2 linked regions of the Nothobranchius furzeri genome follow. The protein of the gene in region 2 binds, or shares a complex with, the protein of the main gene of each other region. Links are inferred from orthologs where the notes say so. Each region holds a gene or a part of one and is shown on either strand. Other genes may lie near its edges.

Region 1 (10,097 bases), on a different chromosome or scaffold from region 2:
CTAACTCCTTTGGTTACGTCAGAGGTTCAGATTTAGAAAAAAGAGCTTTTTTTAGAAGCTTTGCTGAGAAAGGCCACTTTTTACTAGAAAACTGCTGTTATGTATTTTAAAATGAAATATCCACAATAAGCATTTCAAATAGTGTTTTTGGACAGCATTTTATATGAATTAAAAAATAAATTAACCTGCAATTTACTCTTTAAGAAAATTGGATGTCAAAATCACCTGAAAATCTGAAGATGTTGACAATCCGTTTAATCTAGGAGTAGTGCAAAGTTTCTCAATTCCTAGATCTAAGATGAATTAATAAAACTCTTAATCTGAAACTAGTTGGGGGGAAAGGAGATCTCCTAACCAGATGATCAGCAAAGATATCTTCACAATTATGTCCTGTTAATGATGAAAGATCTTTGAATAAATGTGAGGGGAAAGTTAGATTTTTGGTGTTTTTACGGCACCTCTGATCCTCCGCTTCTCTGAGGCGTCTCTCTCATCTTCCTTCTCTGTGGCATCCTCCACTTTTTCTTCTTCCTCCCCAGTTTTGGGTCGATCCAACTCCTCACAGATCAGACTTAAAAAATCAAATAAAATCAGTTTCTGTGGGTTGCAGCCTGGTCACAAAACAGCACAGAGACGACTGACCTGATGGTGGGAACAGCGAAAGGATCAAAGCTGTCCAACTCCCTCAAGTCGATGGGAACTGAGACACGTCCTATTCAGGAGCAGAGCTGGTTTTACTAACAGCTGGTAGAGAAAACAGGTCACTGTGTGTTTTCAGACCCAACTCACCTGTTTTGGGATGAACACTAAAGGGGCTCTTCAGTAAGTGGCTCACACCTTTACTGACGTTCACATCAAGCCGAGGGTAGCAGTACTGCAGCATGATCTCTTTGTCAAAGTGTTGGCCCTTTTTAGCTGTAGACTAGGAGGAGCAAGACTGTTAAATTAATACTAAGCAGTTTTGCTGGCTTTCACCACCATCTGGTGTTCTGTCAGTCAAAGCAAAATCACCTTTGTCTTTTTAACATCTTAATCTAACCGCTGAAAGGTCTCCTTCCTTAGTTTCTACAGGAGAAATTCATGCCTAAATCAAACAAATCAGCTGTGTTAGCGATCTAAAACATGCAGGAAATGTGCTGCTTTGAGACTAACCAGGACCAGACTGGCCGGCAACTCTGAAATAGCAAGGGGTCTGAGTGATTTTTCACCAACTCTGTAAAGCAGTTGTATTCAATTCCGTGCCTCGAGGGCCGGTATCAGCACATTTTAGTTTTAACTCTTCTTCAACACGTGATTTCAATCGCCAGGTAATTAACAGGTTTCTGCAGAGCCTGATGAGCTGAACTAAATGTGTTGGAGCAGAGAAACCACTAAAACGTGCCGGATACCGGCCCTCGAGGCACGGAATTGAATAGTCCAGCTGTAAAGGGTCATTTTAGCACATACCCACTCAAGAAAATTATTTAAAAAATGAAAAAGTTGCAAAGTATCCCTTTAATGCTCACTAATCGGTAAAATTATGAATATTACTTTTTAAATTTCATATGGTTTACAAAACTAGTTCCCATAAAATACACTTTCAAAAATTCAATGAAAACTACATTTAATTTATCAAAACTTTGACTTCAGACATATTTAAACAAATATTTACATTAGGAAGAAAAGGGATTTTGCAGCCTTGCACTTGCTGAATGTAAGGCTGCCAGCAAGCCTGAACCTGCTGACACTGGCACGCTGTGGATGCAGCACAATTTGAGAAGCATTCATCTGAACCGACTACTACAAACAACAGTTGTTGTTTTTTTAAATATAAAAACAAACAAAAAATGATCAGGAACATTATTAAGTTTTTGTTGCATTTCTGAAAGGACTTCCTTTTGTAGGAAACTTCACTAACTGGCATAATGAACTGAACTCAACGGTTAACTTTGTGAAGTGCAATGAGAGGACTCAGCGTGACCTGGTGCTATATAAATACACAGAATTTTATTTACTAGAACAACCACGAAGACCAACCTGTTTCTTTCGGGCTTGGTCTTTGATCAGTTTCCAACGAACATCTGATTTCTTCTCATTCTGGAAGTCCTGCTGTAACTCTTTTTTTACATGTACAGAACAAATTAAGGCCTCATAATTATCACTGCTTTTTAAAAATCATATCAATTCAGCTGGTTTTCATATTCAGGAAATTACTGAGCAAGCACGTTAGAGAAAGGATATCATCAGGAACTAGAGCCAGGACTTTGTCTACAGACTCTTTGCGGGCCAGTATGTCCTGATCCTGCAGCGCGTATTGAGGGAAGAAGTGCTCCACCACTGCCAAAGACTCTCTGGTGGGATTAGACACAGCTGAAGCCACAAACAGAAGCAGCAATGACAAAAACAACAGTCAAACGTATATTTACCTGATAAAGGGGTGAATTGGATCTGTCAGCACTACTTTCTTCACAGTATCTTCACCACCCTAAAAGGTTACATTTAGAAATCACATCTGGACATACAACTGTACTGTATGTTAGTCAGAAACCAATAAATAAGCAGCTTTTAGTTATGGGAGCAGCTGTTAAGTGGCTTTGAATTTGAACTTTAAAGGGGTTCTAGATAAAAGTAATTTTTTTAACGATTGGAAACTATTATTTGAGCCTTAATATATCCCATGAAACTTTGTTGGGGCTCAGGAACCCAGAAAAATTGACCAACGCACCCCAATAGCTTTATTTCTTGAAGCAAGTAAGTCTGTGACCTGTGTGTGAGTGTGTGTGTGTGTGTTACTATCAGTGCAGACAAACGAGTAAAGAAGTGAGTGTTTTCCAAAGAGAGATTCAAATGGGTTGAGGAGCAGGTTTTGCAGATAAACAAGCAGGAGAACAAGGACTGCAAGATGTGGATCGATCTGCCTATCTGTCTGTGTGTGTGTGTGTGTGTGTGTGTGGCTGTACTCTGTTAGACCAGATTGCAGGCTATGGATTAATCTAGCATTCATTCATTCACAATCTGGATACTCCCATTATATCCTGGAATGTGATTGGTGCTCCAACATTCTTCTTTGTTAAACCAAAACAATACGCAAGTGGACCAAACTGAAACGGTTCAACACCGCCCCGTGAACCATCACACCCCTAATCATGACCAATGATTAGGTTGGGACCTGCAGATTTTAGGGTGTGTGTCGTGCTAATGACGTGTTAAACCAGCTTTTCTCCAAACGAACCATTTCTCTGTGGCCGTTACAGCATTATTAATTTACATAGGAAAGCAGGTCAGCAACAGCACAGACATTTTGGTATGCTACACTAGACACCCCCAAGCTGCCTTTATCCAACAACAACAACCAGATAAATGTGGTTTTAAATTCTAGGACTGCTTAAAAGACTTAAATAATCTTGGAGTTTTGCTTTAAAATCACCTAATACCGGTAAAACCATTGCTACCTTGATCAGGCTGAGATATTCAGCCACAGCAGAGCGTGCTGCAGCAGAGAGCTTCCGGGCAGCTTCATCACACACCCAACAATGAACTCCCCTTCTGCCAGAATAAACCCACAGCAGGTGCTGAAAGCCAAAGTCCTCTGGGAGAAACATAAAAAATGTCAATCTGATTTGATTCAAAATAAACACATGCCTGACATAAGACCAGGGACACACCTCTGAGCGCTCTGTCCAAGATGCGGATAGCAATGGTCATCAGCGTCCAGCACTTGGTGCAAATGTCTGCAGCACTGGATCGAAGTTTGAAAAGGTCATTTTGGTAGATTGTCCTCCAGAACACTCTGAACAGGCTCAGAACTAGAAATAATCACCTGCAGCAGCTTCGGACATCATCATAATCTGTCATATCAATATCAAACACAAGTTCCTTCTCTAGAGCTTGGAAGCTGCCGGACTTCACCGTGTTGTGTTGATTAGGCTGTTGATGACAAACAGTGACTTTACTACACTTACACGATAGTAAACATGATTTGATCCAGAATAAAGTCTTACCCTGTGACTGTACACTGCTCCAATATCAATCTTATAAGGGTTCATCTTCTGCATTTCCTTCTCCAGCTCGTTCAGCGTGCTGAAAGACTGGTAGCGCACGTAGATGTCATCTTTGAGCGTGAAGCAGAACTCTCGGTTTTGGAAGTAGTTCTTCTGCACTGAGAATGTGGGAAAATGGACAAATAAACACTGTATGTGTTTATTTCATAAAGGCAATCAAGCAAAATCTGTCTCTTTTCTAATGAGTGACAAACTTTTGTTTAAATATCACATATAAAATAATCGCTGTAAAGTTTCATTACTAATAAAATCAACGTCTTCCAGAAAAATTTTACTTAATCTTATCTGAATTTATCAGTGCAATAAAATACGGTGACGTTTAACTACCCAGGCTTTATTGTTGTTTTTTTCAGGTCTTCATCAACTCTTGAATACTGGGAACAAGCTGCTTTCCTTAAATAAATTAGCAGCTGTCTTACTAAAGTGAATCCTTGTTTAAACGTAACATAAGTCAAACGCTCTGAAAAGCTCTGTAACAGTTGTAAATACATCTCAAATGTTACACAGGGGGAAGCAAACGTAAAATCCACAAACCCTGAAGTTCAGCATAGAAGGCTAGCTAGCCTAATTACATATATAGCTAGTTAAATCACAGAAGACAAGCTAACAGCCCGGTCTGACGCTTGCTCGTGGTTCTGGTCTGTTTGTGAAGTTACCTCCTCCGTAGGTAAGCCAGCGGTAATACTGGTAGAAGGGGAACAGTCGTCGGTAGTACAGCGGTAATAAGTCCGGCAGACAAGCGGAGTCGTAGTCTGAAGATGGCATTATAATGTAGTAAAGCCAAGCTAATGTGCAGCTAGGTATATGTTACTGCTGCTCTTCAGTCAAGCTGACAGCTTGGTTAGCTAAGGACAGCGCGGGAAAACTCGAAAGAAACAGTGATGACAAACAACTGCGACAACTACGTCACAAATAACAGGAAGTACCATGAAAACGTTTTATTTATTTTCCTAAACTAAAATAACATTACAGAGTTCAACTTGAATGGAACTCAAGGTTTTCTGTGAATAAAGTAAGACTATAAAGCGTTAAGTTTTTGGCCCTGGGTTGACTTTGGAATGGAGATGTCCAGTATATTTATGTCGATGGTAGGGTTTGCTTCTTTTGATTCGCCGGGCGGAAGTCAAAACGAGCGGGGAGGAAGTTGTATTTGTGATCAACTGAGAGGGGAAACTTCGCTAATAGAAACAGATGCAATATAAAACAATATTAACATCTCAAATAGCTTGCATGAATGTTTGACCAATGTGGCCTTTTCTATTTTTAACATTCGAGGTATTTATTGCTACTAGACTCCGCCCGCATGGAAGCGCGGCTAAAACCACCAGGAATTAAATGGTGCGAACTATGAAACCGCACCAACCTGTGATTTCAAAATAAACTTTTTGAGTCAAATTTGTGACATACGAAATTATATCTTTAGGATAAATCTGTTTTCATCACTGGTAATGCCATACTTGAATTACTGTGTGGAAGTTTGGGGAAACACATACCTGAGTAATCTACAATCACTATCCATGCTGCAAAAAATGTGTAAAGGTAAATCAAGAGCTACAAAAAACATCTACTGGATCATTATGTTGATGAGCTGGGTTAAATAGAATTATACAAGAAGTTGATTGTTGAGTATGTTTAATCTATTTGTTCTCTGTATTTTTGTTATTTTTATATAGATCCATCCATCCATTTTCTGAACCTGCTTGTCCATGCAGGGTTGCGAATGGGGGGGTGGGGGCTGGTGCCTATCTCCAGCGGTCAACGGGCAATCAGGCGGGGTATATCCTTGACAGAGAGCCAGTCCATCGCAGGGCAACACAGAGACACACAAGACAAACAATCACACACACACACACACACACACACACACACACACACACACACACACACACACACACACACACACACACACACACACACCTAGGGACAATTTAGACAGACCAATCAACCTAACAGTCGTGTTTTTGAACTGTGGGAGGAAGCTGGAGTACCTGAAGAGAACCCATGCATGCACAGGGAGAACATGCCAACTCCATGCAGAAAGTTCCCAGGCCGGGAAGCGAACCCAGGACCTTCTTGCTGCAAGGCAAAAGCTCTAACGACTGTGCCGCTGCGCAGCCTTTTTATATAGATATGTTTCATTCATTTTTCATTTATAGGCACCAGAATGCATTACCTGCACTTCTAATATTTACCTCTCAACGTAGGACTCTTTCATAAGGGTACATGCACACCGGTGGTTTTAACGGTTATTCATGGGGCAAAATCTCCGACATTTTTGAAAAAAAAAAATCCATCTGCCAGTAAAGCAAAGCATCCAACCCACCTCTCCAAATGCGTAAAATGTGCATCACAGCCGCTAGATGCGCCGCACGCACCATCAGGTAGGTCAGCCCAGACAGCAGAGCAAATAGAGAAAGAATAGAGGATAAGTCTGATGTGGATAGAGATTACATTTTACAGCAGCCTGATCATCATTTAAATACCATCACCTGTCTTCTAGTCCATGCTATCAGCGTTATTTAATTGGTGTGTGTGCGTGCGTGTGTGTGTTTTCCACTTCAAACACTGGTCTAACCAACCAGACCAGTGTGTCCAGTAACATATTAATGTTACAATTAAACCGTTACACTTCATGTAGGCTAGGAACATTTCACCTGCCGTGGCCCGACCGCTTCTGCTCCACATAAACTTTGTGCGTGATCAAATGTCTCTACAGGTGCTTTCTGAGCTGAAGAGGCTATTCTGCCTCAGACTGGATGTGTCGTGCATCTCCATATTAGAGACGGGAACAAGCACTATTCAGCCAAAGTTTCATAATCAGTGAACATTTTTCCAAGTGACACATCCCTCAGAGAGACCGGGTTTCCAGACCGTTTCAGTGGGAGGAAATCTTACCGCATCGCTGTGGTTCTGCGCTGCGAACCCCTCTACAGATCTTCAGCTCACTGTCCACCGTGTGCGCTCCGATCCGCGCTGAGCACAGTGTCCAGTATAAAGCTCTGATGTTCTGATGGGAATCTTTTCTTGATGGATTTAGTTACCTCCGCGATGTGTGTAACGATTAAAATGTCAGCTCATCAGTGTGCATCGGGGTAATTCTTTCAAAACAACCAACATCCTTGAGTTTATCTGTCAAAATAAACAGTCAAATGGAAATATCTATAACCCTGCCATTTAACTGTTTTGCCTTCTTGTGAAGATTGTTGCAAAGAGAAACAATTAAACTTGATTAAACCCAGAGCCGTGAGCACTGCGCTGTACTTCCTGACTGTAAATGAGGGGGAAACGATTTAATCGGATCCTTTTCTTATCAACATGGTTTAGTGTAAAGTTTCATTCAGTACAAACTTTAGTTACACCAGTTTAACGAAACAGAGCCTGGATTTGTATTCTGAACAGTTTAAACATGTTTAAAACGGAGACATGCGTGACGCGTCTAAAATTTGCACCTGCTCCGCTATTACGGAAATTAAACTAACAAGATGAATAACATGAACTTATTTTAGGCACAGACAACATCCCCCACACTTTTGAAAATCTTGCAACGCGCCTCGCTGGAACCGGTTCCAATCGATGCTCAATGCTCGATGCCCAACCCTATAATCATGACATTACACTCTGATTGAATTTAGTCTGTGTCAATGTGCTGCACTGCGCCTTTATTCGTTTTTATTAAAATAACAGTACGTATCCAAAACGTTGAACTTAAATTTTATAAACACAAACATTTGACTTAAACATCTTGTTCCTTCAACACATATGATTATTCCAACTTATGAGCTGTAAAGTTATTTATAATTCAGGATGACTTCCTCAGAGTGAAAATGCAGGAGTCTGCATGAGGCCTTGGGTGAGAATGTTTTGTCTTCTTGTACGAAAACAAGAACGGAGCAGAACTTTCTGGATTTGGAGGCCAGACAGATGGTTTTCGTGTCTGCAAATGATGGTTATTTCCTTTTCAATTAGATGGTGAAAAACTCCTCCCACATTTAACATTTAACCCCAGTAAAACAACCACTAGCCTGATGTTCATGTAGTTACTTAAACGTAGATTAACCCAAAACTCCTCAGACTAAACCTGTTTTCACGGGTCAAAAAACAAACTAAAGTGGGTTTATTTTTATTCTTCACCTGGTCCCAACTCTGAATATCAATTCTGATAAAGTAAAGCAAGCTATGAGAAGTAAAGAAAAAGAAAAAATGGTATGAATGAGAAACATGTTCAAGGGGAGTGGGATGAAGCCCTCGCTTATAAATCCCTCTCCTTATTTATTTAATAGTCTCCAGATTAATCAAAATGTGTTCACCAGTGACCCCGGAAGAGGAAGCAAACTTTAAATATCCTGACAAAGCTCTTATTGTGATAATGGAAAAGTGGACACAGATCAAGAATCCACACAACCACCGATAATCATTTTCAGCCTCAGCAGATCCATGCAGAAGTAGAACCCGAGTCAGACCTTCTCTAGCTCTTCCACCAGGGCGCAGCATCTTCACACCCAGCCTCCATAGCGGAGCTTATTAGGGAGGTAGATGTTGGTGAGGAAGTCAGGAGCTATGGAGGCCAGGGACTGGATTTCAGCCTTCACCTGACTCTGCTGCATCAGCTCCATCTACAGAAGCAAAAGAGCAGCTTTAGGGGTGGGTGGGAGTCAAACCCTCGTATCTGCTGTTTAGTCATCTGGTACGTTTATAAACTCCACTAAAGAAGACAGTGTAAACACAATAAAGAACTATGATATAAATATAAGAAAAGAACCTTCCAGAGCTTTTATTCTGAGGTCCCTTCATGTTAGCATTCAAACAAACTGACAGCCGCACATTCTGAGACAAAGGTTTAACCAGCACCTTCATCATTTCTGCCATCTACTCTAGCTAGTCACATGGTGGTTTAGGCTAACTGCACTCGTTTAATAGCAGCAGTCACTATGTGAACGCATCATGGATGTGAAGCACCTTTTGCCTGAGGGCGTTTTGCGCAGCTGAAAAGACTGACTTCTGTAGCCCACATCGGTCGGTACCGGGTAGGTTAGGGTAACCCTAACCCGCCATCAGAACCAGCTTAGAACCGACCACCAGAAGAGACATGCGGGTCAGCTGGTTTCTGGGTCGAAACCACATCAGAACGGCCGCCTGGACCGCCAGGAGAGGATGCGCGACTTTTAAAAATACCAAGTTGAATGGGTGGCTGGGTCAAATCCAACTAAAAGAAGCCCGCATGATCCCCAGAACCGGTGTTGTGCCATAAATCGACTGGCTGCTAAAAAGTGATTAGCCACCGCGGGGTTGCGCACAGTTAGGGTAATTGCATTTCTAGACAAAATTGATCTACAGCTTATATTTTTAAAGGTTAAAAATGAAAACAACTTTAATTTTTTTTGACATCTTTGGGGTGTTTATGAATGTGGAAGACACCCAGCGTCCTGTGATAAGACTAATAACATCAAGAGATAATAAAGTAATATTTGTCATGTCCCTGGGAAGGTGTTTAACCCACGACATGAAGAATCATCACAACAACGGCAGAAAGTTCAAACAATGATTTATTAAACCTAACTAAAAGTGTCCTGGAGATATCCAAGTTCAATGAAGCCAGAAAGAGTCCAGGAGTCAGTAGGGAGGGCAGATGGTGTGACGGGGTGCGTCCAGAAGAGGGAGCCAGACGATGGCGGCAGAGGATAGGAGGAACAGGAGGAGAGGCGAACCGTGAGAGTTGTTGTCCAGGCGGGTTATGGTGAGTTCCAGGTAGGTATATTCCAATTAATGGTTCAGCGTTTCCAAGTATCCTGAAGAGGAATACAAACTTGAGTCCAAAATGGTCCAAACACAAGAATCCACGAAAAAATCCAAATACTGCGACAGCAAAATGTCTGAGCAGAGACCAAGCATAACCTAAGACTTGAGAGTGGCAAGATACTACCGTGAGTAGCTAATCATCCAGTGATGTGAAGTAGTTCCCTCTCCTCTTAAATAGAGCTCTGCTGCGGTTGATCTGAGGATCTGCAGCTGCCGCTGATTGGTAATGCTCCGCAGCTGGTGAGTGCCCTCTCCTGGAAT
Region 2 (10,018 bases):
GCATGCACAGCGAGAACATGCAAACTCCATGCAGAAAGATCCCAGGCTGGGAAGCGAACCCAGGACCTTCTTGCTGCAAGGCAACAGCTCTAACCACTGCGCCACTGCGCAGCCCATTTCCTGGAACTCATACAGTGGAAATGCAACTACTGTAGTTTAAGACCCCCAATGCCTGAGGGACGCCGACACGTCAATCTACAAATGGACACCAATATGTACAATTTGGCGAATTGGTTGCATGCCACAGTTTTGCATCTTACAGTCACTGCACTGAATCTACAGAATGTACCAACATTAGATTTTTAATGTGTATTAAAACATGAATCATGGTAGTGAGCAGAGTGGCATCCATCTCAGTGGAAGGAAATGAGTGACTCACTTTGTAGAAGTCCTGATCCTCTACAGTGATTCCACTGATGGCGTAAGTGGAGCTGACAAGTTTCTCCTTTAACTCCTTCTTCTCTTTGAGACTAATCTGAAAAAAAAAAAAGTTATTGATGACTTTCAGCGAGGAGCTTCAAAGACTAACCCATCCATCCATTTTCATCCGCTTATCCGCAGTCGGGTCGCGGGGGCAGTAGCCTAAGTCGAGAGGCCCAGACTTCTCTCTCCCCAGCCACTTGGGCCAGCTCCTCCGGGGGAATCCCAAGGTGTTCCCTGGCCAGGTGAGAGACATAGTCCCTCCACCGTGTCCTGGGTCTCCCTTTAGGCTCCTTCCCGGTTGGACGTCCCCAGAAAACCTCACCAGAGGCGTCCAGGAGGCATCCTGACCAGATGCCCGAGCCACCTCAACTGGCTCCTCTCGATGTAAGGGTTAATCCATCAGCAGCGAGGGCTCGCCGAAACCAAATAGTTAGAGACTAGTACATGATTTGCGTCCATGACCGGTTCAAAACGCTAATAGACGTTTTATAAAGTTTCAGTATTTTTGTTCATAGATATTTTATAAAGTGAAACAAATCCTGCCTAATAACATAATAAAATGTCAGAAGAGCATAAAAATCATGTCAATAGAAATAACTGTTGCATAAAAATCATGTCAATAGAAATAACTGTTTATTTAAAAACTATCACATATGAACCACTTTTCCTTTTAAATAAGAACAAAAACAGTAATATTTAAAAATGAAATGAGATTAAGCTTTTAGTTTGAAAAGCTCTAATGTGGCTAAACAGCGCCACCCAGTGGAGAAACAATTAAGTATCCATACACTAATTTTTCTGCTTCATAATTATTACCCATCACATTATTTAAAAATACCTTGAGTGTTTGTTTCCTTTGCCAAATACATTTATGTGTTGATCAAAATTTAATTTAAGCTCCCACAAAACAATTGATCAACATTTGACAATTAATAATTCAATTAAATGAGCAGAAAACCAGGGTTTAATGACTTACTGCGTCATACTGGAGATTATTCTTGTGAAGAAACTCAAGCTTTTGTTTTGAAAGCAGTCCATTAAAGCGATAGCGGAAAAGATCAACCTCCTGCTGAATGAACCATCGCCGCAGATCTTCCCTTTAAAGACAGAGTAAATTTAAAAGTCTGTTTTCTTTTGTTTAATTAGGATTCCTCAACATGATTAAAACCACAAACTTACGTCTGACAATAGGCCAATCTGAGAATGAAGTGGGAGATATGGTCCTTTCTTCGCTTCTCACTCTCACTTGGTCCACCTGGAAGTTTTCTGTCATCCTTAAAGAATAAAAAGATGTTTATAGTAGTGAAAAGTCTCAGAACAGTACTACTAGATCAACATGATTTCTTCTTTTTATGTGGCTGTTGCTTATCTTATAATTTCTCCACATCTTGAGAATCTCAAAAGTATTTTCTAAACCTGAAAAGTTTGTGGATTTTAAAAAAATTAGAGGATTAATCAATCTAAAACAAAACAAATAGCTCAATCTAATTCCTAAAGTGTGTACTGGTTTCAAACTGCCCAGTCATAAATAATAAAGTCACAAAGAAACATAAGAAATTGTATTTATTTCTAATAAATCCTAGCCCAATACAGTCGGTGGGACTTAAAGACCAAGTTCACTTGTTTTTTTTCCCCAACACAGCTGCAGCGGTCTCAAGTAGAAATGAGTGCCTTGTGAGTCGATGTGGTGGTAAAAAAGCTCGGGAGCTCCTGTTTCAGGAAGTAGAAATAAGCCAGAGCAGAGGGGAGCAGAAAATGGCAGGATCAAGAGTTGGACATCCCACCTATGACTGGCTAACAGCAACGCGACTCTTCCACCGACTCACCGTTTGCTTTGCTACTTTGATGTTTTATCTCCACAAATGACACGCTCCGGAAGGAGTTCTGCCATGTTGAGGAGAAGCTAATGTTAACATTTAGACTCTGCTCTCTCCTGGACGCTAAATCAGCCTTCCCTGTCGCGAGTCAAGATGGGTGAGTCCATAAAACCTAATTTGACAGCGTGATGTGCAATTGTCACTGGATTTCCACGTGTATTTTCTATAGGTGGCTAATGCAGGACACTTAGCATGCATGTTAAACTCTGAGTGACCTATCGTACTTCAAAAATAACAAGTAAAAAGTGGTTTCTCGGTTAACTTGGCCTTTAATGTAGCTTACAGGCTTGAATACATGAAGGTGGCAACTGTTGTTAGGTGTACTTTCTGTATTTTAAGTACAACGAGGCCCTAAACTAGTCAGTGTAAACGTTAGAGACAGAAAAGTGATTCTATTGGCTTGACTAAGTCTGCACCTTGAACATAAACGTCTACAAGCTATGTTAGCTTTCTAAGTCCACAGATAAAAATAGAAAATTGCTGTTTTATATTAAAAGGGAAAAAATAAGGATAACTTAGAGACCAAAAACATGAAATAAAGTAGTAACCAGACTAAACAATTTTGAGTTACCAGTTATTGGTTGTGTTTACACAGCATATCCTCATACTCAAGATTAAAACAAACAATAATAGAACTCAAATGTTAAGTATTTGTGGGAACTAGTACATTTTGAACTCTAAATAAAAGCAAGGATTGACACCAGACAATGGAAATATACCATGCCAAACTCCAGTCCTCGAGGGCCACACTACCACGTTTTATTGTGTTCCCTGTTCCAACAAATCTGACTTCACTCAGAAGATGACAACAGACTTCTGGAGAGCTTGGTGAGCTGCTGCATAAGTTAATCAACTGTGATGGAACACGGGAAAAAAACGAAAAGGTTCAGGATGCCGGCCCTCGAGGACTGGAGTTTGACACCCCTGTGCGAATTTAACTCTTAACATCAGAATAGTTTATAATCAAACAGCAGAAGAATACTCACAACTTCAGACCTGTAGGGAAAGTTCAAGGTCTTCAGCTCAGAATCCAGTTTCTTCGAGTACTGCTCTGACTGTTTCACATAACTCACTCCCAGGTTCTCAACCGTCTTCAACACTGCAGTGGCACCAAGAAAAGGCAACATTAGGGACGTGAATCTTAGAGCAACTCACGATTTGATTCGATTCCGATTCTCTGGGTGTCGATTCGATTCAGAATAGATTCTTGATTTAAACTCAATTCACAATCAATTTTAACAAAGAGTGTCAGTTCTAGGATTAACCACTTTGTTGTACAAGTTAGTTAAAGCTATGGGACATTTTTATTTTACTTTAAACTGGTCATGCTCAAAAAATGCAAATTTACAAGGTAAACTAAAGTGATTCTAAAACTGTAAACAGAAGCAATCTTTTGACCAAAAGGCAACATTTATTTTTGCTTATCTTGTATAATATAACAAATCTTTAGTTGCCTAACAGTAGCTTTGAAAGTATTACGGTCAAATACTTTTCAAGTACGTGTGGAAACAAGTTTAACGTTTGAGTCCTCAACCTGTTAAAAATAAGTGCCTCAGATTTATTACAAAGGAAAATGTTTTCTCTCATTTATCAATAACTTCAAATAAACACATGAGTAATCCTGAGTACTCACTCATCAACTTAGAAACTAAATATGAGAATACCTCAAATTAACGAGTATGGAAAAAATTACATTCTAGTCCCCACTTATCAGCAGATTCAAACATAAATCATCTCAATTTATGGGACCACAAAAGTAAACGGAGTACTGACTCTCCTAACAAAGATTAAAAAAAAACAGACAAAAGTGCATCTTAAACCTGTAACGTGCCAAACATTTGAGTTCTTGGAATCGATTCGGAACCTTTGTGAATCGATTCTGAATCTTTATAAATAAGAATCCCGATTCAAACTTGAATCGATTTTTTTCAGCACCTCTAGGCAACATTGTTACCAAGCTCTTAAAATAAAATGCATCTTGATATAATAAAAAGTAAACCTGCAAAAAAAATAGCTAAACAATTTAAATAAATCTAGATTTTGTTCACGAACACTGAATGGTCTTACATTTCAGTCTGTCCACAGCAAAGGTCTCAAATTCAGAGAGAGAGATGTTTTCCAGAGGGGGCTGCCCGTAGAATTGCAGCGGCTGCACGTAGAGCTCAGTCTGGATGCTTGTCCCGAACTTCTTTCTTCTCCCAGAAAACAGCATGGTGCTTGCTGGATTAGGAAAAATAAATACCATAACTATAAAAGTTAACAGATCATGTTTCATTCAGATCAGGTGTAACTGCATGTTCATTGGTTCCGTATATGAACGCAGTAACAACACAGGAGGGAAGCATAGGCAAATAATTGTTTTTTATTCTTGCTAAATTTAACACCAATCCAGGTTATACCTAATCTGTAAAGGAGCTGCTTCATGAAAAATAATAATGTATGTAGAGATTGATTGGGGCACCAAATACAGCTCCCTCGCTGCATTATTACAAGTTTTAGTAGATATTGTAGAAGATTACTGCCCCGTTTTTATTTTTAATAAATTATAAAGAATGAAAACAGAACGCAAGAACTATTTTTAGGGTAAAACTCAGCAGCTCAGAATGACTACGTCATCAACACTCGCCTTTTAACCTGACAGCGGTTTTAAGATGCTAAAAGTATCTACGCAAACACTTAACTAAACTATGACGGCTAATTTAAACAAAGTGTGCACAAACCGCAAAAAACTAGCGGTTTATAGACCAATGAGGAGACACTAAAACTCCTTAGACCAAAACAAACCGACTTTCAAGTGTAGAAACGTCTACGTTGACACGGTGCTCGCTAACACTGAGACAGAAACGAGCTAGCTAAACTTGAGCTATCGGAATAACGTTTAAACTTCATAATCAATGTAACTTTACCGATAAAATATGGAGCTGCTCTTACTGACACAAATCCCGCCAAACAACGAGAGCTTGTTTAACAAACGCGGGTAAAGAATGACGATACGCCCAACACAGGAAGTGGAACGCTTACGTAGAGCGGTGAGCGCTCGTTTAGTTTTTTACGTTGCCCGTCTGTGGCATTTCATCGTGAAATACAAGAAAAAACGAAATGTAATGGGCAATTTCACGTTGAAATGTTAAATCCAAAAGTGTTAGCAAACGTTTTGGCTAAAAAAAAAAGTGATCGTATTTGCACTGATACGTTTTAAGGTATAACTGGGTTACACAGAAACACCTTTAATGCATAACAAACGCACACTTGAAAAATAAATAACAGTAAAAATAAGTTCTGAAGTGCTTTTAGTTAGTTTAAGGACATTCTGATTATTGGACATTTCTGATAGAGATTTTACTTCATAGGTCGTGACTGTAAACACAGATACATATAAACATTTTTCTTTGCTATCTCAAAACTTTCTTTTTAGAACAAATGACAATACGTTTAGAAATTAAATTTTAAAACCCGTAAAACTTCATGTTAGGTTGTATAAAGTCTATGAATAGTATTAACTAGTTCAACATTATTATTATTATTATTATTATTATTATTAGTAGTAGTAGTAGTAGTAGTAGTAGTGGCAGTAGTAGTAGTAGTAGTAGTAGTAGTAGTAGTAGTAGTAGTAGAATTATTGTTGTTGTTCTTGTTATTAACTGTATTATTTCCTGCTATTTCAGCTGATAACTTTATTTTTTCTATAAGTGTTTTCTCCCCAGAAGAAGCTACAATGATGTTCTGCTGAGCTGCATGGTGGGGGCTTGAATAATGTTGCTAACCATTTAAACATTCTCCTTCTCCTGATAATAACATTTTACTTTCTTTGACATTGAATGTGCTACTACTACTTTACCCATTTAATTATAGATCCACTAGGATAAATACAATAAAGTTCATCTTCCACCAAATAGAATATTTACTAAGAAATCACGATGTAACCATAGAAACATTACTTGGTATAAATGTTGTGTGTGTGGATGTGTGTGTGGGTGGGCTGGTGTTGGTGTATGCGTGTGTCTGCTCTGTCTTCTCGACCCCCAGTGAGTCGTGGTGGACGGCTGCTTATACTAAGCCAGAATACTCTGTAGGTTTCTTCCTGTTAAAAGGGATTTTTCCTCTCCACTGTCACTAAATGCTTGCTTAGTATGAGGATTGTTGTAAAGTCACTGACACTAGTCAATGACTTGACGCAATCTGCTGGGTTCCTTAAAAAGGAAAAAAAAATTCCGATTGGTTTAATGAACTGACCTGTATTGGAATGATTACTATGTGAAGTGGCTTGAGATAACTCTTAAGGTATAACTGGGTTACACAGCGCTATATAAATAAACTTGAATTGAAATAGAATTGAAAATAGAATTATTGCTATTATTATTATTGTTGTTGTTATTATTATTATATATGTTTTTGAGACACTTAGCTCTTCTTTACATATTTCTACCAAAATGGAACATCTCTTAACTATACTGATTTAATTCGCCAGACTGTAAAAATATTAATATTAATTTTAATATTTTGTTTTCCTAATGAATACATCTAATGTGAATGACCAAAAATATAATATTCATTGGTGGGATTGTGATTGTAGATATTTTTGTACTTTCAATTCAATGCAATTCAATAATTTTATTTCACTCAAAATTTAAATATACAAACCTCAAATCAGAATACAATTGCCAACCAGAATACAAGCATTCTATTGAATACAATAATTCGAATGAAATAGGGGGAGGACGAAGAAAAAATCTTATATGACCTACCCCCTTTAACTAAGACAAGATAAATTACAAAAAGTACAAAATGGCCTTATGCACAAAAAATAAACCGCTCTCTTTCTTCCACAAATAATATCAATACTAAAACATTAATCCTCCATCCTCAACTCACCAAATCATACGATTTTAGCATTTTATCTTTCTACATTTTTTTAATTGATCAGTAGTTGTACATTTTTTTAATTCATCATCCAGGTTATTCCATAATTTCACACCATATATTGAAATACACATTTGCTTTAATGTAGTACGAACAAATATCCTTTTAAACTCTGGTTTCTTTCTACTCTTATCATTTTTTGGGATCAAAACAAAGAACCTTTGTAGAATAGTTGGCAGTAAATTATTTCTAGCCTTAAACATAATTAGTAAAATTTTCAAGTTAACTAGGTCCTTAAATTTCATAATTTTAGATAGAACTAAATATTTGTTAGTATGTTCTCTCGGATTTGCTTTATATAGAATTCGCAAAACTTTCTTCTGTAACACAAACAAAGGATTAGTGTTTGTTTTATATGTATAATTTGCCCCAAACCTCAATACAGTAAGTTAAATATTGTAAGATAAATGAATAATATAATGTCTGAAGCGTTGAAATTTCTAGAATACTTTCGACTTAGTTTAAAATTCCAATACTTTTAGATATTTTTTGTTTTATATATTTTATATGGGATTTCCAAGTAAGTTTATGGTCCAAGAGAACCCCTAAGAATCTGACTTCATTTACTCTATCAATTAAAAAAAACATCAATAGACAACATAACTAAATCATTTGTTTTTCTGTTACCAAAAACCATGAATTTTGTTTTATTCCAATTGAGAAATAATTTATTGTCATTAAACCACTTCATAAGTTTAGACATCTCACAAACCATATTTTGAATAATAATTTCTAAATCATTTCCAGAACAAAATATATTCGTGTCATCAGCAAACAATATGAACTGTAATACTTTGGACACATCACAAATGTCATTTATGTATAGAATAAAAAGCTTAGGGCCCAACACTGAACCCTGTGGGACACTGTGTGTAATTTCTAGTGAATCTTAAATTTCATCATCTAACTGTACAAATTGATTTCTATTGGTCAAATAACTACTTAACCAGTCATGGGTGATTCCACGTATCCCATAATCCCTCAAGCCTGGCAAGCCAGACTAAATAAATGTATTATTTACAAACTTTGCAAAGCAAGAATTTGGTCTAGTTCACTAGGCTATAATCCCTCAGCTTGGAGAGTAAAATACTATGATCTATTGTGTCGTATGCCTTTTTTAAATCAATAAACAAACCCACTGTATATTGTTTTTTCTATTGCTGATGCAAGTTCTTCATTTAATTCCAATAAAGCCAGGGATGTAGATTTATGTGATCGAAACCCATACTGACTCTCACTAAGGAGGTTTTCTTCTCAATAAAGTTATCTAGTTTCTGGACAAACCATTTCTCAAGCATTTTAGAAAACCGGGAAAGCACTGAGATTGGTCTATAATTATCAAATCTATGTCCATCACCGTTTTTAAATATTGGAATTACTTTTGCAGTTTTCATTTTTTCTGGAAATGTACCGCTCTGAACAGACAAATTACAGATATAAGTGAATGGTTTAACAACATAAACAACAGTTTTCTTTACAATCATCATGTCAATCCCGTCACAGTCTGTGGAAGTTTTATTTTTACTTTTCCCTACTATCGTCAAAACTTCATTTTCACTTACATCCCCTAAAAACATAGACTGTAAAAAGACTTTAACTTGACGAATAACATTGTAAATTTGCTTAAATGGCTATGTAAAATCTGAAAGGGAGGAAATAAATGTGATTTGATTTTATACTACAACGGTCTGCCATACAGTCTTGCCGTGGTTTCGCTGCTTAGCAACAAGCGTTAGCGAGGCGAGCTAGCGGTTTCCCAGTTAGCCAGTCTCCCCCCCAGCGCATAAAGCTGGAGCGTTAGCTTACAGAATGAGGGCAATGCGTTTGTGTACGTATAGTGTTATAGTTTTACACGTTTGAGAAAGTATTCCCCCACTATTTCAAGGGAAAAATTACTTCGTGCCTGGAAGTTAATCAGAGCCTTTCTCAGGGAGAAAAGTGTCTAACCTTAGCACGGTAACCTTAGCACCGTAGTTTGGCGTCTCCACTGGTCACGGAGAGGAGCTGAGGGAGGATGTAGACATGTCCGTGTGGGTTAGCTGGCCGGTTAGCTGATCTAATGTCGAAGGAGAAGTTTTGACAAGATATTGCAGGTAAAACCTAACACAACTTTGTGAATTTGCTGGCGTGACGTTCATTTTAAACCACATATGTTTGCGTCTGTTAGCTGTAAGGACAAACGGCCGACAGCTGCTTTTTACTTTAAGTCCTGTCAGCTGCTATTCAACAGGTCGAATCTTGAGGCGAGGCTGGAAGAATTTTGGGGGAGAACAAAAGCTGCGGAGCAGACCTAAATGCATTTCCTCACATACTGAGGCAATTCAAAAGATTGTTATCTGTGTGCATTATAATGTTTCCAGCTAAGGCCTAAATAAAGGCAAATCTGTAGAAGAGATAGTCTTTTCAGCATCTATAATTTAATCAACTTAGCTGCTTTTTCCTTGTCTCTTAAATCTTATTTGTTCTATATTGGACAGTTAAGAAATAATTACAGAAATCAAATTCTGGTTTTGCTTAAAATGCTTTCTGAGGGAAGTCTAGTCTCGCTTGTGTTGTTAGGATTATGCTTGTTGTTCTTGGAGTAGAAAATGCAGGCAGATTTTAATGAGATGCAACAAATGACTTGTTTAATTTCTCTGTATTTATGTCAGCTGCTTGTCTTTTTTGTGTTTGTGTGAAAAGTTTTCGTGCCAAGGCTTGTAACTTCCTGTGTTTCTTTAATCCTAAAACAATATTTACACAGGTACATGAGACTGCAAGGCTTAGAGGTTGCGTGCAAATCCAAAAGAAAGAGATTC

Evidence for each region.
Region 1: the proteins of prim2 (region 2) and prim1 are in contact, whole or in part, in a crystal structure (PDB 5EXR), measured with the Homo sapiens proteins. The link is inferred for Nothobranchius furzeri from reciprocal best matches to the Homo sapiens genes PRIM2 and PRIM1. Residues at the interface, in NP_000938.2 of Homo sapiens: Glu165, Ala168, Ser169, Pro171, Ser172, Phe188, Ala189, Leu192, Phe195, Arg196, Gly197, Arg198, Val200, Tyr201, Leu202, Glu203, Asp204, Gly205, Phe206; in NP_000937.1 of Homo sapiens: Lys147, Glu148, Asp149, Phe150, Gly151, Phe152, Ala180, Val181, Gly184, Ile185, Glu187, Tyr188, Ser190, Leu191, Lys193, Lys207, Ile208, His209, Pro210, Ile212, Arg213.

Annotation. Positions count from the first base shown.
Region 1 is NC_091755.1:56,468,454-56,478,550, reverse strand, and holds the start of prim1 (DNA primase small subunit), read right to left. Parts: upstream 4,929-10,097; 5' UTR 4,806-4,928; coding exon 4,697-4,805; intron 4,139-4,696; coding exon 3,981-4,138; intron 3,907-3,980; coding exon 3,800-3,906; intron 3,719-3,799; coding exon 3,645-3,718; intron 3,569-3,644; coding exon 3,432-3,568; intron 2,465-3,431; coding exon 2,406-2,464; intron 2,331-2,405; coding exon 2,221-2,330; intron 2,109-2,220; coding exon 2,017-2,108; intron 923-2,016; coding exon 790-922; intron 713-789; coding exon 643-712; intron 572-642; coding exon 459-571; intron 1-458. Other genes in the region: uncharacterized protein, read right to left, coding at 8,534-8,653, 9,598-9,826, 9,961-9,977. UniProt on the Homo sapiens protein: Catalytic subunit of the DNA primase complex and component of the DNA polymerase alpha complex (also known as the alpha DNA polymerase-primase complex - primosome/replisome) which play an essential role in the initiation of DNA synthesis.
Region 2 is NC_091752.1:19,622,796-19,632,813, forward strand, and holds the start of prim2 (DNA primase large subunit), read right to left. Parts: upstream 5,324-10,018; 5' UTR 5,207-5,323; intron 4,521-5,206; 5' UTR 4,513-4,520; coding exon 4,368-4,512; intron 3,400-4,367; coding exon 3,287-3,399; intron 1,698-3,286; coding exon 1,603-1,697; intron 1,521-1,602; coding exon 1,400-1,520; intron 476-1,399; coding exon 380-475; intron 1-379. UniProt on the Homo sapiens protein: Regulatory subunit of the DNA primase complex and component of the DNA polymerase alpha complex (also known as the alpha DNA polymerase-primase complex) which play an essential role in the initiation of DNA synthesis.